Caenorhabditis elegans: one gene and its partners. The protein of the gene in region 1 interacts with the protein of each later gene in a pairwise test. Each region holds a gene or a part of one and is shown on either strand. Other genes may lie near its edges. The genes, in order: cfim-1, chp-1, cfim-2 and eef-1G.

Evidence for each region.
Region 2: the proteins of cfim-1 (region 1) and chp-1 interact in a two-hybrid assay, tested with the Caenorhabditis elegans proteins (one large-scale study listed by BioGRID).
Region 3: the proteins of cfim-1 (region 1) and cfim-2 interact in a two-hybrid assay, tested with the Caenorhabditis elegans proteins (one large-scale study listed by BioGRID).
Region 4: the proteins of cfim-1 (region 1) and eef-1G interact in a two-hybrid assay, tested with the Caenorhabditis elegans proteins (one large-scale study listed by BioGRID).

Annotation. Positions count from the first base shown.
Region 1 is NC_003279.8:8,613,428-8,616,970, forward strand, and holds cfim-1 (Cleavage and polyadenylation specificity factor subunit 5), read left to right. Parts: upstream 1-1,960; 5' UTR 1,961-1,965; coding exon 1,966-2,175; intron 2,176-2,222; coding exon 2,223-2,320; intron 2,321-2,369; coding exon 2,370-2,599; intron 2,600-2,696; coding exon 2,697-2,842; 3' UTR 2,843-2,977; downstream 2,978-3,543. Other genes in the region: slc-25A42 (Mitochondrial coenzyme A transporter SLC25A42), read right to left, coding at 303-459, 507-586, 638-843, 907-1,093, 1,153-1,261, 1,315-1,335; F43G9.21 (uncharacterized protein), read right to left, coding at 2,978-3,098, 3,374-3,387.
Region 2 is NC_003279.8:5,103,081-5,106,697, forward strand, and holds chp-1 (Cysteine and histidine-rich domain-containing protein 1), read right to left. Parts: upstream 1,832-3,617; coding exon 1,756-1,831; intron 1,712-1,755; coding exon 1,431-1,711; intron 1,385-1,430; coding exon 1,100-1,384; intron 1,051-1,099; coding exon 727-1,050; 3' UTR 501-726; downstream 1-500. Other genes in the region: spe-5 (V-type proton ATPase subunit B 2), read right to left, coding at 1-158, 205-321; pas-3 (Proteasome subunit alpha type-4), read right to left, coding at 2,167-2,546, 2,593-2,965; use-1 (Vesicle transport protein USE1), read left to right, coding at 3,213-3,308, 3,360-3,415, 3,466-3,541. UniProt on the Caenorhabditis elegans protein: Regulates centrosome duplication. Controls the secretion of the tyrosine kinase receptor let-23/EGFR from the endoplasmic reticulum and is required for the localization of let-23/EGFR to the plasma membrane of vulval precursor cells.
Region 3 is NC_003282.8:8,924,486-8,930,866, reverse strand, and holds cfim-2 (RRM domain-containing protein), read right to left. Parts: upstream 4,540-6,381; 5' UTR 4,528-4,539; coding exon 4,442-4,527; intron 4,396-4,441; coding exon of another isoform or gene 4,390-4,395; coding exon 4,326-4,389; intron 4,276-4,325; coding exon 4,123-4,275; intron 4,079-4,122; coding exon 3,961-4,078; intron 3,913-3,960; coding exon 3,770-3,912; intron 3,726-3,769; exon of another isoform or gene 3,474-3,725; intron 3,412-3,473; coding exon 2,996-3,411; intron 2,950-2,995; coding exon 2,841-2,949; intron 2,785-2,840; coding exon 2,560-2,784; intron 2,045-2,559; coding exon 1,926-2,044; intron 1,881-1,925; coding exon 1,838-1,880; 3' UTR 1,767-1,837; intron 1,720-1,766; 3' UTR 1,614-1,719; intron 1,052-1,613; 3' UTR 819-1,051; intron 652-818; 3' UTR 626-651; coding exon of another isoform or gene 545-625; 3' UTR 521-544; downstream 1-520. Other genes in the region: slc-25A26 (Mitochondrial carrier protein PET8), read right to left, coding at 267-424; D1046.18 (uncharacterized protein), read right to left, coding at 545-625; D1046.2 (C2H2-type domain-containing protein), read left to right, coding at 4,808-4,879, 4,921-5,060, 5,109-5,238, 5,283-5,458, 5,508-5,625, 5,668-5,958, 6,015-6,299.
Region 4 is NC_003283.11:10,963,936-10,968,423, reverse strand, and holds eef-1G (putative elongation factor 1-gamma), read right to left. Parts: upstream 2,706-4,488; 5' UTR 2,600-2,705; coding exon 2,591-2,599; intron 2,450-2,590; coding exon 2,327-2,449; coding exon of another isoform or gene 2,305-2,326; intron 2,260-2,304; coding exon 1,939-2,259; intron 1,895-1,938; coding exon 1,762-1,894; intron 1,727-1,761; exon of another isoform or gene 1,509-1,726; intron 1,436-1,508; coding exon 960-1,435; intron 935-959; exon of another isoform or gene 808-934; intron 769-807; coding exon 634-768; 3' UTR 502-633; downstream 1-501. Other genes in the region: dbd-16 (DB domain-containing protein), read left to right, coding at 1-239, 280-453; ctf-4 (WDHD1/CFT4 second beta-propeller domain-containing protein), read left to right, coding at 2,885-2,968, 3,015-3,526, 3,577-3,810, 3,859-3,970, 4,016-4,199, 4,244-4,488. UniProt on the Caenorhabditis elegans protein: Probably plays a role in anchoring the complex to other cellular components.

The DNA of each region.
Region 1 (3,543 bases):
AGAAAATCACTTAAATTATCCAAAAAGTTGATATTTGCCCAAAAACAAAGTTAGATAACTCGATAATCAGTAATTGACAACTTTCAGATCATTTTTAAGCACTTTCTCAAATTTTTCAACTGGAATTAATTTGATTTTCGGACACATCAAGTGATTTTCTATACTTTGACATTGAATTTCAATTAAAAAAATGTTGGAACAAGCAGGTTATTTTGTTTAATTGCAACCGCCCATTTCTGATAGAACTATATTGTCATTATAGTAAGGTTTAAAAAAAACTATAATTCAAAAAATAGTCATACCCGTATGATAAATATGAATTAGAGCTCTAAGAGGACTCCATCCACTCGGAATTCGCCCTGTTTGCATCCGCCTTCTCACAATATCGAGTGGATATGACGATGATTGACCGATCAAACCAGCTAACATTCCAAATAACATTCGGTAGTAGGAATTTTCCTGAATTATCATACATAATAACGTATAGAAATAATTTCTCAACTCACAACTTCACCTCTATGATCTCGATACATAATCTTAAGAGTTTCGTATGTGAAGAAGGAAGATCCAGCGTATGGTATTACTCCTGTAATCAACAAAAATCGATAAGAAAGATGTTTTTCATAAGAATTCCTACCTAGTATAGTTGGATAAATCCCTCTGTACAATAGTTGAATACCACCTTCTTTATATGTTTTTACAAAAACATGTTTCAAAGAACTATATTGTAATTTTGAAGAGACTGAAAGACGAGCTTTTGCGGTGTCTAAAGGATAAGTGATCATTGTAGCTGTTGTGGCGGCAAGAGAACCTGTTATATATCGTTTCACGGGTGTTCGACTTCTGGAAATTAACATTTTGAAGTTAAATTTGCCACCTCGGTGTGAAAAAAACTTTAAAACTCACCCATTTTCGTCAACTTTCAGCAATTTTTTATACTGCTCGAAGGCTGCGAATTGCATCGACGCGTATGGCACAACACGAGCCATCGTCGCAGAATTTCCACGATACAATGCAAAGAATCCATTTTCCCGATATGTTAGTTTTATGAATTTAATGGCAGATCGGAATGAGTAACCACGTGTACTTGAAACTGGAACATACAAAAAATTAGGTGTATTTTCGATTGTTTCGAAGTGACATAATTCTTACCTTGAAAATAAATTTTAGTTCGATCCAAAGGTGCGATTGTAGTTTTGGCTAAAGCTCCGGCGATCGCGCCTGCGGATAGTGACAAAACGACACTGGGCCTCTGTTTTCCCTGAAAATATGATTTTATGACAGAGATGTTCCAAAATTTATTTAAAATCTTACCTCATTTGAGTCGTGCGGCATGAAAATTGCAAAAAAATCACGAGTCTTTGCTGGTTTTTCTAGTTGGAATGATACAAAGTCAACGATTTATCTGCAAGATCATCATGTGTTATTGGATATAAATTCACATAATTAACATAACAAAACGATTCAAAAACGAAATTTCAAAGAATGTCTAGAGTATCATACTGGGAGCAAAGAATTTCAAGGTGAAGAGTAATGAAAAAAGTGATGTGTGATTTTTCTCTGGCGTCTCTTTATCTTCCTTACCGATTGTTTACACTTAAAATGTGACTGGCTAGTAGTTGATAGGCGAGCGTTCTTTGACGTCTGCGTCTTAACTAGTTTCTCATTGAGATGTTCGTTTTAGACGGTCAAAAATTATAGAAATGAACAAAATATTGTTGTTTTTTAGATTTTTACGATAAAGGCGTGAAAATTTTATAAATTTGATTCAGACGGACTAGTTTTCACACGTTGCAACCGCGCCCCATGGACAAACTGTTTCTAGGCCATCTGTACATTTTTTTTGTAATTTTGTTTTCAAACAATTTTTTCCAGTTTTCAATTCATTTTTTTTAATTTGCTCTTCGTCAATATTTAATTGTGTACTCTAAATTGGTTCAAAATTTAAATATAATTTCAGTTAAAATGGAAGACATCTGGCCAACAATCGAAAGAACAACAATTTCAGCATCTGTGCCCGAGGCTCCAGCGAACTTTGATGAAAAACCTCCGTTCAATCGAACAATCAACGTGTATCCGTTGACTAATTACACATTTGGTACTAAAGATGCACAAGCAGAAAAAGACAAATCAGTTCCAGAAAGGTTCAAACGAATGAAAGACGAATATGAAGTGGTAGGTGTTCTCTAATTGTCTCCAACCGATATCAATTATTTTTTTAGATGGGAATGCGTAGATCAGTTGAAGCGGTGCTTATTGTTCATGAGCACTCACTTCCACATATCCTACTCCTGCAGATTGGTACCACCTTTTATAAATTGTGAGATTAATTCCTATTAAAATCTGAAAGTTTCATAAAAAAATTGCAGGCCGGGTGGAGAATTGGAACTTGGTGAGGATGAGATATCTGGAGTCACACGTCTTCTAAACGAGACACTCGGAAGAACCGATGGGGAGACAAACGAATGGACAATCGAGGATGAGATAGGCAACTGGTGGCGACCAAACTTTGATCCTCCCCGTTACCCGTACATCCCTGCGCACGTGACAAAACCCAAGGAGCACACCAAGCTGTTGCTTGTTCAGTTGCCCTCAAAATGTAAGAGACTGAAAAATTGATAAGATCAAAATTTAAAGTGTCTTCGAATTTTTTCCCTAATTGAAACCTAAGCAGTTTAATGTTTTGTACATTTCAGCAACATTCTGCGTTCCCAAAAACTTCAAACTCGTCGCAGCTCCACTCTTTGAACTTTATGACAACGCAGCCGCCTATGGACCACTGATTTCCTCTCTTCCAACCACTCTTTCGAGATTTAATTTCATTTTCAATGACTCCAACTAAATATTTTTATTATCTGTTACTTTTTGTGTCTTCCTATTTTGTAAATGACCTTGTTCACTCTAATTTTGCTCCTACCAAATCTTCGATTTTGTTATGTATGATCTCTCAAATCGTTAGTATGAATTTAAAAATAAATTATTTCTTCATTTTCATTCGTTGTAATTTAATTCTTCCAACAACAAATATGATGAAACAAATTATGCAGATCGTGGCTTGTATACAAAACACTGTGAAGACGCTTGTTTCGATGGAAATTCTGAAAGAATATTTCATATTACGTAGAAGTTGAGAAAATACGCCATATCTTACGGTCTTGGGTCTCGCCACGCGGACAACCAGTTATTGTAATTGAATCTTGATATTCAAATTAAATGATAATTTCTGACATTATTTTTAAAAAAGTTGCTAGCGTGGTGAGACCCATGCGCGAGACTCATGCCTCTTTAATTTAAGCAGGAAATAAAATACAATAGAAAAGTAACTAAAGAAAACGTAACTAAAGAAGTAACTAAAGAAAGAAAACTAACTTACCTATCAAACTTCATATTGTTAATTCTTGATACGGACGTTGTTGTTTCAGTGTTTCAGATTGAATATAGCGAATTTTTCGTTCAAAATGGATGAACGGCTCACAAAACTTTCAATTCACATTTAGAAATACATTGAGAAATAACAAACTCAAAGAAATAAATGATTACAAT
Region 2 (3,617 bases), 3.5 Mb from region 1:
ACCTGCACAACTGCCTTGTTCTTTGAAGACTCCAGAACCTGTCCCATTCGAATTTGTCCATTTGGAAGTGTGATCTTTACGATTTCATTGAACATTGGAAATTTAACATTGTGAACGATGACAAGTGGTCCATTGACTCCGAAAACAGTTTGATATGTCTGAAATCTTGAACATATTTTCATTTTCCAGAAATTTTGAACTTACCAATTTAGGTTTCGTGGAGTAATTTTGAATCAACGCGGTTCGGTGATTGGTGATTGGAGTGTTGACATCAATTGGTCCTTTGATATCGGAAAGATTAATCTCCGATGCTTCTGTCATATTTTGAATAATGAAAACTTGTCGAACAAATTTTGAAAATATTGGCGTTGCATTCACGTGTACGGTAATGACCTTAAAGGGACACGCCACGAATTTTTTTACTCGTGGCGAGACGACGAATAAATAATTTCAACTCGCTCTTGCGAAATTTTGGAAGTTTTAACAAAAACTATGAAGGTAACAAACGCATATTTTATATTTATGAAGCAAAAAATTAGAAAAAAACTAAATTGTCATTTATAGTGGGATCTCTCGGAAGAAAGAAGAAGAAATCCTACTGGCTATGAAGAAAATGGTTATCGCCATGATTTAAAATTATTCAGGTTCATAGAAGATCAATGTGGGATTGGGAAACGGTTTGGGAACAAATAGAAAGATATGTTTGATGGAAATTAAAATCAAAGTTTAAGCTTCTTCATCATTTTTTGCATCCAGTTCAGGATCAAATTTGAGACGAGGCCATCCGGTTCCGTGTTTTTGTTTCAATGAAATTTCGACCTTTCTTTCGCCAATGACAACACGACTTTCCTCGGGAATAACTTCATCCCATAAATCGTAATCGAGATCCACGCTTGCATTTCCAAATCCGTGCTTCATACTCACTCGAACGGTGTGACCATCGGAAACGATGTTTGCGGTTTCGGGTAGAGCACCTCTACAATACACGTTGATGGTGACAAATCCATTGCTCGAAAACCAATCTTCTCGGAATTTGCTGACAATTTCATTCTGAAAAACGCCGATTTTTTTTTGAAGTTTTGAAGTTTTTTCAACTCACATTTCTGAACTTATGTTCGCCTGAAGTGCAGCCCACTTGCTCAAGGAAAGCTCCAAAATTAGAAGTTTTCTTGTTACAACACGACCAATACTTCATTCCTTCGTGGAAAATGGCAGCTCCAGGGTGATGCTGACAGTTTTCCTTGTTTTTCGATCCATCGAATTCAGTAGAACATCCATTGTTTCGACATGGGGCGCCAATTTGAATATCCGCACTTTGAGCAGCTTCAGATATTTCTTTCAGCTTTTTCTCAATAGCTGCGGTTGCTCCAGGCGTCACTTCAACCTGCAATACGTGTTTGTTATAAAAAATTTAATTTAAAAATACAAACATTCAAATTTTGCTCAATTCTCTTTGTCGCATCCTTGCTATCCAATTTTCCAGATTTATTGAGCCCTTTCCAAACAATAACATCTTCTTCTTTCTCTGGTCGAATTTCCTTTACCGCGGCAACTTTTACAATATCGACTGGTTTTTCATTGCTGTGTTTTCCACGCGTACATCCTTTATAATTCATCCATGTACCGAAATCAGTACTTTTCTTATCACAACATGTCCAAATCTTGTATGCATCATGGAAATACGGACCCCCAGGGTGATATGTACAAGCTTCTGAAAAATTAAACTGATTTTTTTTATTTTCCAATTAATCTTACCGTTGTCATTCTCCTTGGGATCGAAAAGGAGACCGCATCCTTTATGATAGCACTGCAGTTTACTTTCGTCAACCATCTAAAAATGCAAAAGCGATTTTTTTTCTGAAGATTTCGGCTTAATAATCCAGTTTTCCCCCAAATGCTCGAGAAAATTCGAGACTCCGCCCATTGCAATGTTGCGGCACACTCCTTCTTTTTTCCAGCACTCTCGCTTGACCAAATAATCAAAGATTTGCACGGACAACAACAAGGTGAATTAAAGAAAGCAAAATTTAAAAATACAAATATTTAATTTTCACCGACGTTTGAGATAGGAATATGGGTGATAAGAAATAAAACCAGACAATAAATTAAACGGGTGGGAGGATGGTTTACAATACAGTCTTGAAAGATTATTTCAAAGGCAATAGATTACTTCTTCTCAGCAGTCTCAGCTTCCTTTTCTTTCTTCTCGTGCTCAGCAATCAGAGCATCGACTTCCTTGGTGGTGAGCTCTTCGAGCACAGTCTTTCCATCACGACGAGTCAAAACAGCCATCTCAACTTTCTCGGAAGCGAGCTTCACATCCAAAGTCTTCCAGAGAACCTTGATAGCCAACTGCTTTGCTTCTTCAAGATTTGGGGATTTGTACTCCTGTTTCAACAAGGTTACGGCAGCCTGGTGGTTGCTTCCGATGCAGGTTGCCTTCCATCCAGTGTAGTTTCCGGAAGGATCAGATTGGTAAAGTTGATATCCGTAGTGCTTATCCCATCCGATATAGAGAAGTGACACTCCGAACGGTCTCTTTCCTCCTGAAAATCATATTAATAGAAATCAAGAGAGAAGTTATCAACAAACCAATCTGCGTGTATCTCTGCTTTTCATTGCAAAGATTCTGGACGAGCTGCTCAACTGGCATTTCCTCTCCGTAACTGTTACGATAGCTGGCAGCCCACCATCTCAAGTGGTTGATGAGGATGTTCGCGTCGGCGGTGATACCAGCGACAGTGCACGAGATGTTGTCCGAAAGACGGTAGACCTTTTCAGTCATGACAGAATCATCCAGCAACTTGTGAACGTTCTTTCTCTCAGCAGCAACGACGATTCCTTCCGATGAGAGAATGCCGAGGCAAGTTCCAGCATGGCTGATAGCCTCCATAGCATATTCGACTTGATACAGTCTTCCCTCCGGAGAGAAGATGGTCGTTCTACTATCGTAACGACGGGCCATTCTCTGAAAATATAAAGATAATCTAGACAAATATGATTTTAAAATATAAACGGCAGAAACCTATAGAAAAATTACATAAAACAAGAAGAATCTCTCAGTCCTCGACAAAAAGGATGACTTGAAAATTTTTTCGCGCATGAGCGCATTTGCATTTTTGTATTTCTCGGCCGTGGCCGAACTTATTTGTTTTCAAGTTGTCAACGTTTATTTTTATTTTTTTATCTAATTTTGTCAAAACATCAATGAAATGGCGTATATTTCTGAAAATGAGCTGAAATTTCTACGACTTCTCGAGCGAACAAAGCGCTTGACAAAAGAGGATATGTCAGCAAACGTTTGGAAAGCAAGTATCACATTTTAAGTTCTGTTTAATTAATTATTTTTCTTATTTCAGGTTTCTGCAGCTACAAAGATTCTCAATAAAATGATTTATACACTTCAAAACGATGAGTGAGTTTTTCAAAATACATTTTTTAATATTTATAGTTTTACTTTTCCAGAACCACAAATGATATTCTCCACGAGTACCGACAGGAAGTCTTGCAACTGAAATTACTCGCTGAAGCTGAAAGCAAGGTTTGTAGATATTTTAGACAAGCAAATTCGATCTTGTAATTTTGCTTTAAAGATACAAATTTTTACATAATTTCTA
Region 3 (6,381 bases), on another chromosome or scaffold:
AATGAGGTTTATGCCAAAATTGATTAAAAAAAGAAAATTACTTGAAAATTGGTGAAATTGGCAAAACTACTTTAAAACGTTTGGATTTACAGATTTGCCGCCAAATACCTAACGAGACCCTAGGTTCGGGGGCGGAGCGTTTTGTTTCCATTTCGAAAGTTTATTTTCTGCGTCCTCATTTATCTGAATTTTTGAATTTAATTTTGGGTTAAGCTCTCAAATGTCCGAAAACCAACTAATTATATCCATTTTTTCCAAGTATTCACCTATAAATATCTTTAAAACCTCCAGCTGCAATGAATCCTTGTTTAGATTGCATTCTTGATTTAATTGTATCCAATGGATATAATCCAATATCAACTGCTAAACCAGCTGTCGCCCCACACACGAGCCATCGTACCACCGATCCTTCTTCTGATGGCATCCTAAATTACTCCATATTTAAAATATCCAATTCATTCTAGAGGTACTACATCAGTCGACAAATTCGACTTCATGGGAAAGGAAGCAATGAAAACACATTTCTTATTTGCAATTTATTAAATTAAACAAAACTTTTAAAGACAACGTTTATAAAAGATAATCCAATAGTGAGCACTGATGAGAAAATGTGTACACGAATCATTGTTGAGTTGGAAGATAGCCAGTATTCTGAAATATGAACATAAGTTTTTTTTATTTTGCTTGAAACACATTCTGAAAGCAATGATTTCAACCATGTAAATGCGAGGATCAGGAAAAATAAAAGGAAGCACTCACGAAAATGAGACCAGGGATTTTGGATAAGTGAATAAATACAATAAAAAATATTGGCTTACCAATTAAATTCTTATTGAAGAATTGAAACGGGATTCACAACACAATTGTCAACAAATTCAATGAATTTTCATCGAATGTGCTCGAATTACAATTAATCATTTAAAATGTTTGGAAATTTTAGAAAACAAAATGTGAATTTCAGATCAAGAAAAAATTTCTGTTGAGAGGATTTTGCGGGGATTTTTTTTGACGATTCCGATTTGAACTCGATGCCACGTGGATGCTGCTGGACCTGTTGGAAAATACAATTGAAATGAGATAAAAAAATACAATAGAAAATATCAGCTATGCTTATTTCTTCACATTATCACTGACATTACAATTAATGCCTAAAACTTTTAAATTTTTTGACAAAAAGGATTAACAAATAATTTTCAAATTATCATTTCAGCTGAAACCTATCAAATTTCAAGACGTAAGTGAATAAACAAAACTACATTTAAAGGACAAAATATAGAATTAAACACATAGGAAGCTTAAATGATAAAAACAACTAACACCATTAAAAATCTATTTCAATCAAAAAAAATATCAATTTCACATTATAGAATCAATGCTTACCCAAACCCAAGCTTATTTTAAATGAAAATATTACAATTTTAATGTGCTCTCAATAAATACTAGCAAAATGTTACAAATTTCATAGCATACTTTTTTCGAAATACTCCCGATACAACTGAAATTTCGAAATGACCCAATACTTGAGGAGTTACATTCAAAACGATTTTAAATAGAACAATGAAAGGTAATTGAAAGAACAAATCTGAAAATCAATTAAAAAGTCAAAAACTTACAATTTTAGAGTACAAGTGAGCAGATCCCGTATGCAAGTGAGAATAAATCGAAATCGACCAGTGAACATTGAGAATGAAATTTAGAGATTATATAACATTTTTGGATCTGAAAAATTGAAAATTGTTTTGTGCAAAAGCAAGCATCGGCATTACCAAATTGTTGAAAAAGTGAAAATTGAAGAGTAAAATAGAAATAATCTTGAATTTGAAGAAAGTCGTGTTATTTAATAACGACGACGGCGTGGAGATGGTGACCGCGAGTATGAGCTAAAAAAATATTTTTTCAAAAAAAATTGTTGCTCCAAAACGAACCGTGAGCGAGTGCGACTGCGTCTTCTTCTTTTGCGATCTCTTTCGCGACTTCTTGAACGATCACGATGTGATTTTGAACGAGACGAATATCCTTTTGATTCAAGGCCTTTGAGTGTGTGCTGGAAAATATATAATTATGAAAAAAAATTGCGATTTACTTTGTATTTCTGTAAAGGTGGAGTATGGTCGTTGTGAAATTTTGTATCAAATGAAAGAAAAAAGCCATAATGACCATATTGAGATAACTGTTTAAAAACTTAATTAAATTTCTGAATTTTTGATGGTTTTTTTTTTCAAATTTGCATAAATGTTTAGATTCATCGGTTTTTCTTGATTTTTTCTTTGATATTTGATTTGAAACACCGTTTTTTTTAGATTTATAAATTAAATTTTAAATCACTGATATGTTAGCAAAAAAGTTTTGTTTCAGTAAATTTATTTCTTATCAATTAAGTTTTTCTTACAGAGACATAACTAATAAATTGACAAACGATGAAAAATTTTTTATCGAGTTTTTTATCGAAAAATCATAAAAAATCGAACATTTTTTAACGGTCATTAAGGTCCATTTTCTATCATTTAAACTTCAATGGAAATTAGAGTTTTGCTCAAGAAGGATTTTTTTTAAACGTACTTCCAATCCATAAACCAATTGTCTGCATCTTTCATCATGTCCAATTCGACTGTTTTTAATCAATTGAATTGCTGTCAATATAGTCTCAGATGCTCCTTTAATATCTCCAACAGATGCATCAGTTATTGCTCGAGCTATAGCTGACGATGATACAGTTTGATTTCTTGTCATTACATCTTCGAACTCAGCGTCAGATAAAACTGTTCCTTGAAGTCCGGGGAACATCTGAAAATAATAAAATTATCATTCAAAATTATTTTTAGTTTTCAAAAAACCATTACCTGTGGATTGACATGGACTGGTGGAAGACCGTTGATAGGAGGACGCATAGCTGTATTCATTTGCATAAGTGGCTGAACACCCATTGAACCAAGTTGTGGTGGTCTAGAACTATTTGGAAATGAAAAAGAATGATAGAGGATTATTATACGATTACCTATTCTGGAATTGATTATTCATTGGAGGTGGTGCATTCATTCCCATCATTGGTTGTATTCCCATTGATGTTTGCATCATTGGTCGAACTTGTTGTCCCATCATCATTTGAGGTTGTTGTTGAATTTGTTGATTCATTCCACCTAATGGTCCATTTCCTAACATTGTTTGTTGTGGCACAGGAGCACGGTTCATTAATGGAACTTGTTGTCCGTTGATTTGTAATCGCATTTGAGGAGCTTGATTTAGATTGCTTGGCAGAGATGTAGGTTGGCTCATCAAAGGAGTTGGTCGAACTTGCTGCATCATGAGAGGTGGAGGTCCAGATCTACCAGAGACACTTGTTCCAGTTCGACCAGTTTGCCCTCCAGCTCCAATACGAATAGTTCCCATATTGACACATCCTTCTTCGAAACCCTGCCAAATTAAAAATGTTCATAATTAGTATAACTTTTCGAAAACTTTATTAAAAAGTGATAAATTGTTCGGATGAACTTTTAACGCACACCCTTCAGAAGGTGGACGCCGGTAAGACTCCGAATCAATATTGCACCTGCTACCAGCTCATGATCATAAAGACAAAACACCGCTGAGTTTCTAGGCGCGGGCGGGAATCGATCACGCGGACTGCTGACTGACAGCCAACTGCGCAACCGACTGCGCTTCCCTCGACGACCACAAGTACCAAGTGGAAAACGTTTATATCGGTGCGCCGTGGAGTAGCAGAGAGTCACAGCACTAATTTCAACGATAGTGTTATATTCTCTTTTTTTACCTTTTTCTTGACGTCTGGACGGGTCTGATTTTTTGCTTGCGCATCTTCCAGCTTTGCCTGATTCGTTTTATTGTACGACAAAACAGTTGGACTTTGGCCATGGATAGTTTTAGTTGGGAGAATCTCCATAGTTTGTTTTACCGCTGCAATGAAATAAAGTTTTTAGAAATATCTTGTTAGTTTCTACTAACCAGCATCAGAATTCAAAACCAATAAAGCATATCCCTTGCTTTGTCCATTCGTTCTGTTCTCGAAAAACTTCATGTCAGCGAATTGAGATCGTGCAAGGCCGGTGGATTGAAGAGCTTTCTGGACAAAATTTATTGAAGACATTCAGTTTTACAGTCACTTACCAATAAATCAGCATCTGTAGTATACCAGAGAAGGTTTCCCACGTAGCAGCAATATTTTCTTCCTTCCGAAGACGTCGCTGGTTTTGCACCAATTCCAGCAGTTGGAGCAGTCACAGTGGTGATTGTTGGTGAAACAGGTTTTGCTGATTCCGTCTAAAATAAAGAATTATAAGGATTTAATAAGAATTCATTAGAAAACTCACTGAATTTGTGGGTGCAATCGCTTCATCGTACAGATCGTCAATATCTTCTTCCTTGAGCTCTTTTCTGGATCAAAAAATAAATTTTTAGCATTTTCTTTTTTCATTAAAGTATTTACCCATCCAGCAACGCATTCTCGTCTATGGGACCATCATGTTGTTCGTTACCGTCACCTAACAACGCTGCTTCGTCCAATTCAGCCATCAATCCTCAAACAAACAACGGTTACATGAATTTTAAGAGAGAAAATTAAAAAGTCAAAATTCAATTGTCTTCTAACAGAATAAGTGAACAATTATTTAATTAATCGATAAAATCAAAAAATATTTATTAACGCAACATGGGTGGGGCGTGCACGCTAAACAACAAGCGTGTCTGTTCAACGGAGTGTCGTTTGCAAATGTCGATTTACGAAAAAAAAAATTGATTTTGAAAAACATTTTTTTAAAAATATTTTTGAAGTTAAGCTTTTACAGTTTTCATCATGAATGACGGATATAAGCAAAACGATATAGTAAATCATGAAGCTTATGAAGAACTTGAAGTCGCAGAAGAGGTAACTCATTCTCCCATTTCAAATTAAATATTTATTTTCAGCAAATAATTTACTGTCAGGAGGAGTACAACGATGGTCCGGGTACTATGGTTCAAGTTCAAGAACAGACAGATGTGCCATGTTATGTTATGGAAGGAACTTATTTTACACCTGAAAATATATATGCTGCTAATCAAGACCAGTAAGTAAATCAATTAGCCGAATCCGCAAAGATTTGAAAATTTTGCAGTTCGGTGTGTCATTTCTGTAAAGAAGATCTCACAAATAAACGATTTTACAATCATTTATTTGATCATCATGGCTTCACGAAGCAGCAATGTGAAATGATGAAACAGCAAAAACGACTCGGGAGACCAAATGTATATTTCAATTATCTAAATTTGAAAATCAAGTTAATTTTCAGCCGAAGCGAAAATCGTTGCATTCTTGTGAAAATTGTGGAATGGAGTTTATCACAAAGACAGGATTAACGAGCCATTTAAAAAAAGATAATAGCCCGTGTGCGCGTGTTGACGAAATGGCTGTTGGAGGATCGTCTGTGAGCAATATCGTTTGTCCAAGTTATGGATGTGATAAAAAGTATTGACTTTTATAAAAAAGAAACATATTCAGTCTCTAAATATTTTAGTGTTCCTACATATTTGGATCTGGCGATTCACGTCGACACCGAACATCGAGATCTTTCGAGGGCAACTGATTCATTCCGAATTCGAAGAGTGACTTTCCAAGATAAAGCTGGATTTATGGTATGTATTATTTGATTATTTGCAACTATTTAACATTTTCAGAAGTGGAAAAAGCAAATGGAAAAATCGACGAATTCGGAGTTTTTCCTTAGGACTTCGCAAAAAGTATCATTTGCTATTCGGACAATGCTCTATAAATGCCTGTTTTCAAATTCTCGAGGGCAATCGAAAGGCAGAAGATGTGAGCAGTGTCCTGCATTTATTAAATGTTGTATGAGAAATCATGGGCAATACGAAGTTGTCGCCTGTTTCGGGCATCTTGGACATGAACACCCAACTGAAACCGAGATTGCTAGACAGATGAGAATCGAGAAATATCGAGAGATTGACGCAGTGAGTTTTCATTTTATAAAAAGTACGAGATTACTTATACCAGTATCAATTTTCAGCTTCAAGTACGAGAATCTCGAATGCATAATCAACATCACATGAATGTTCGCCCAAAGCAAATAATTGTTGATCAATACGGACACCCTACTCACCCAAACGATGAAATGATGATTCTGATGCCGGTAGGAGAAGAAGTCGTTGAAGAAGATGCATTCACAAGCGTCGTAGTAGATGACGCTGATGATGAGATAGTAGGGCCACGTGCTCAACAGGAAACACCAGCTTTAACAAGACAAGTCTATATTCCAACTTCAAATCATCACGCGAGCTCTTCTCATTACTAGACAATGATACCTGTTATAGTTTCTTTTTGATTGTAAAAAACAGTTAATTATATCAAGAATTTCTCCATTTCCTAAACAAATT
Region 4 (4,488 bases), on another chromosome or scaffold:
CACCGGATGAGCACTTTGCCACCTGCTGCTCACTTCTCGAAGTTGAATCATCTTGCACAGATTTATGCTCATATTCTACGTACTCATCAGAAGAAGTCAGTGCAGTGTTTCTTCAACAATCAGTGTGCCCAGTGACTGCAATTCAAAAGATTCATTTTTGTGCGGCACGAGGAACAAACCACACGGAATGCTGCTCCAAATCATTAGTTCCAATACACTGTCACTCTTTCTGCGATCAGGTTTGAGAGACATTTTACTGACACGCAATGATTTTTACAGAGTCAAGATAGTGATGTCAATAGCCTCTCAATCAACCATTTGCAATGTGTACAATATTTCAACGACATCAAATCTTGCTTTTTGGAACACGCAAATCAAGAATATTTCGAAGGACACATCGAGGACTATACGACGACCGAAAACGAAGAAACAAGCTTAGGAGCTAATTTTTAAATCTAAAATTATTTAGGAACACTTATAGACGAATAAATTCAATCTCAACTTGAAGAAGATATAATTTATTGAAGTGATACCGGGTCCTTTATAAACAATAGAAAACAATTTATTCTTTCCGACTCAGAGTAAACAACAGGATTAAATGGCAAATACACCGGGTTGTATGGAAACTCCAGTTTACTTGAAAATCTTTCCTTGGTTGAACTTCTTTCCTCCGAAGTCTCCCTCCCACATAAGATACTCGTTGACTTCCTTCTTGGTGGCATCGGACTTGGCGTCAAGCTTTGTCCAGGTGTACGATTCGTAATCAACCTGAAATATATTATTGTGAAAACTATCGAGAATTCATAAAATTGTTGCTTTCAGTTTAGAGGTAATTGCTCATTAAATAAACAACTCCAACGAGAAGAAGCACTTATATACGAAAAGTGTAACTCTGTATAAGTGTATCACGTATACAAATGACTACTCTTCGACATTCAAAATCGAGGAAATGGTCCTACCTGCCAGTCTGGGCTGAGTTCGAAGGCGAGCTTGTCACCCTTCCACACCCAGATTCCTGAGATGGTCGAATTGTTGTCGGTTCCGAAAAGAATCATGGAGGCGAAAGCATTCTTCTTCAACTTCTCCAGTCTTTGGTACATTCCATTGATAAGGTTACAGCTCATGAAGGCGAGAGTGAGATCTTCTGGGTATTTGTACTCGCACTTCCAGATGGACCAGTTGTCAGCATCGAAGTTCTCCCAGAAGTGTGGGATAGCCTTGGTAGCGGTGTCTTCGTTGGAATAAGATCTCTTGAAATTGTCAAGAACGAATGTTCCCTTTGGCATATCTTGGAATGGATCCTTGCTCTTCTCCTCCTTTGGTTCATCGTCCTCTGGCTGGGCAGCCGCAGCAGCTGGCTTGGCCTCTTTCTTTGGCTTCTCGGCCTTTGGAGCAGACTTGGCGACTTTAGCGCTGAGCTCAGTGAACTTGGCTTCTGTAAAATAAGAATAAAATTTAAACTGGGAATACAAAATCAGAAGTTTTTTTATAAAATTAGATTTCTTTTTAAATGTGTGGGACATAAACTAAGGTAACTTAGAATTGACTGCAGGACAACCCTGTAAACGACCAGTGCTAAATTTCCAACTCTCAGTCCCATGAAAAACGTTCCGAACAAAGCAAAAACAAAAACTGTTTCAAGCAAAGACGGTGTACATAAATCTTGATATTCCACCACTGTAACGCCTACTAATCGATTGACTAGTCTGCTGACTTCGCAGTGGAACAAAACAAATTCACACTAACAAAAAAGAAACTTACGGTTGAATTGAGCAACCGATGAGGCAAGGGAAACTTCTCCAAGAACCTCCTTAACAGCTGGCTGGTTAACAACGGTTCTGAACCAACGGGTGACGTTGACGATGGACTTTCTAGCGTTGGCATCAAGAACATACTGAAAATTAGGAGTGTATACATATAATCTGGGTCATAGTGTACTTGGAAAGCTGGGAGAAGATCAAGAGCAACGGAAACGTCGGCAAGAGAAAGACGTTCTCCAACCAAGTAGGTCTTTTTAACAAGAACACGATCGAGTACTTGGAGTTGTCCGTTGAGTTCATTCTTGTATTGTTCAACAGTCTTCTTGTCAAAGTTGGCTGCAGACACAGATGGAAGAACGTATCCGAGAACAGCTGGAAGAAGATAACCTTCTGCGAATTGAAGCCATTGGACAGTCTCGGCGTTAGCTGAGGTTCCAGTCAGGTGAAGTCCGATCGACTCAGCTCCGAAGAGAAGAGCATCTCCTTCAAATGCTGGGGTCTGAAATTCTGCACATTGATAGTTCACAGATCGTCAAATACTGACATCTAAATAAATTAAAACGTACAACTCCAAGTGGGAACTTGTCAGCTGGAGCAGCATCTCCGGCGAGGGTGACAGTCTTGTTGGCGAGCTTGGCAGCAATCAAAACCTTTTGGGTTCTGAAGTTGTCCTTGTTTCCATACAGTTTCTGCAAAATAAAAATCAATAATTGGTTAAATTTCGTCATTTCAAGGTTTGGCCTAATCATTTTTCAATGCAACGAACGGAAATCACGTTAACTATTCTTAACAGCACTGCAAATTTAATGAAATTAATTTTATAAACTTACTCCGGTCATGATGTCACCAACGAGTCGGAGAATCTAGTGAAGCGACGCTCAAAGAAGAGGCGCTTGAAAAGAGTGGTGTTCTTCAGAGGAAAAATACACTGAAAAGTCTGCGTATGTGCCCCTGGCAGAATGCCAGTACGCAAAACATAGGGGTTCTACGCAGTTCACTGGTCCATGGTTGCATTACACTTTTTTACCGCATTTCGGCGCCAAGAATCAGGTTTAAAATTTGCTCGCATTTTATTTATTTTTGATGAAAATAAATAATTTCACTCGTAATTCCATTGTTTTCAGATGAGCTTTACTAACGTTAAAAATTTGGAGAATATCGGCCTTCAAACTATCTGCATTGATGCTTCAGGAGAAGATACTGAAAATGTAGGATTTAAAACGATTTATAAACATATTTACCTGTTTTTTTCAGATTTACGTTTGTGATGCTGAACGAAATGTACTCAAGATCAATAAGAACGTGTTGCTGCAAGATGAAAAACCTGAAATAATCGAGATTCCCGATGCGACAACATCATCTATTGCTTGGTATGGAGAAAACATCTGTTTTGGTTACCGCAAGGTGGATTTCATTGTTGGATCCGAGCAGCAAATGGTGGGACGGGCGAAAAAGGGCAATTTCGAAGCAGGAGATATTATTGATCCTCTTGAATTCCAAATGGATGTCACAACGGTCGACGCAAACAGGGAAAATGTTATTGGAGGATCTAGCGATTATGCGGTTAAATGCACGAATATGAAAGATTTAGATGCAGAGCTGAAAACGAGAAGTCTTGAAGCTGAAGTTCTTTGTGTCAAACTGGATCCAAAAAATGAATTTGTGGCCGTTTCTACTGTGGATGGCAATGTGACTATTATAGACATTGATTCATTCTCGATTAAACACACACTGACCAAGGTTTTCCCAAGATTTGAAACAATTGAGTTAGTGTTTCATGTTATACTTCGGTTTTAAACAATGTCCTGTTTTTCAGTGTTTCACGACCTCGTATTCAACTCTCATGGTCAAAGGATGGTCAATGGCTGTTTGTTCCTTCAAAAGGATGTGTGAAATCGTACCGTCGAAATGGGTGGGAAGAATCTGGTGTATACCGTTTGAAAGATCATGCTTCTGTGGATTTTTCGGTTACTGCGCTTTCGCCGTGTGGGAAGTATCTTGCCTCCTCAACCATGGATAATCAAATTGCTGTTTGGAATAGTGATGAATTGTAAATTTAGGTAAATGTGTGAACTGATAAATAATACATTTTTTCCAGAGATATTGTGTGTTGTGAAAAATTCGTGAGAAATGCACCTGGTATCACTATCATCACTTCTATTGTTTTTTCTCCATTCTCCCCAAAAAAATTGATTGTCGCTGATTCAAATGTGAGTTTTTCCCTTTTCGAGCACTTTCAAGTAACAATATTTTAGAGAGGAATCTGTTTGTTTAATGTCTTCAAAGATGATTCATCTAACGAGAAGCCTGTTTCAAACAAAACTGAAGATGTTGCAGTTGATAGTGATGATGACGACTCAATCCTTTTGAATAGAACTTCACTCAAAAAAGATAGTTTATTCAATGAAGAAGCCATTGAAGAAGATGAAGATACCCGAAGTGAGGGATTGTAAATATAATTTCTCTTGATGTTTTAATTTTAGTGTCTTCCGATCTTGGAGCTATCAAACGACAATTCAATTATGGGAACCAAGATCTTGGAGGGCTTGAAGAATTCGGTTTTAAACTCGGTGAACCTGAGGAAATGCGACCGATGAGCTCGGACAGAAATTTGAATGATCCTCTCCCGCAAGTCTATTCTGATCCACCTGCTCCCCGAAAAGTTCTTATTCCTGAACGATTTGTATCTAACAGCTCTCCAATGGATCTCGACGCAACACAAAGGTTT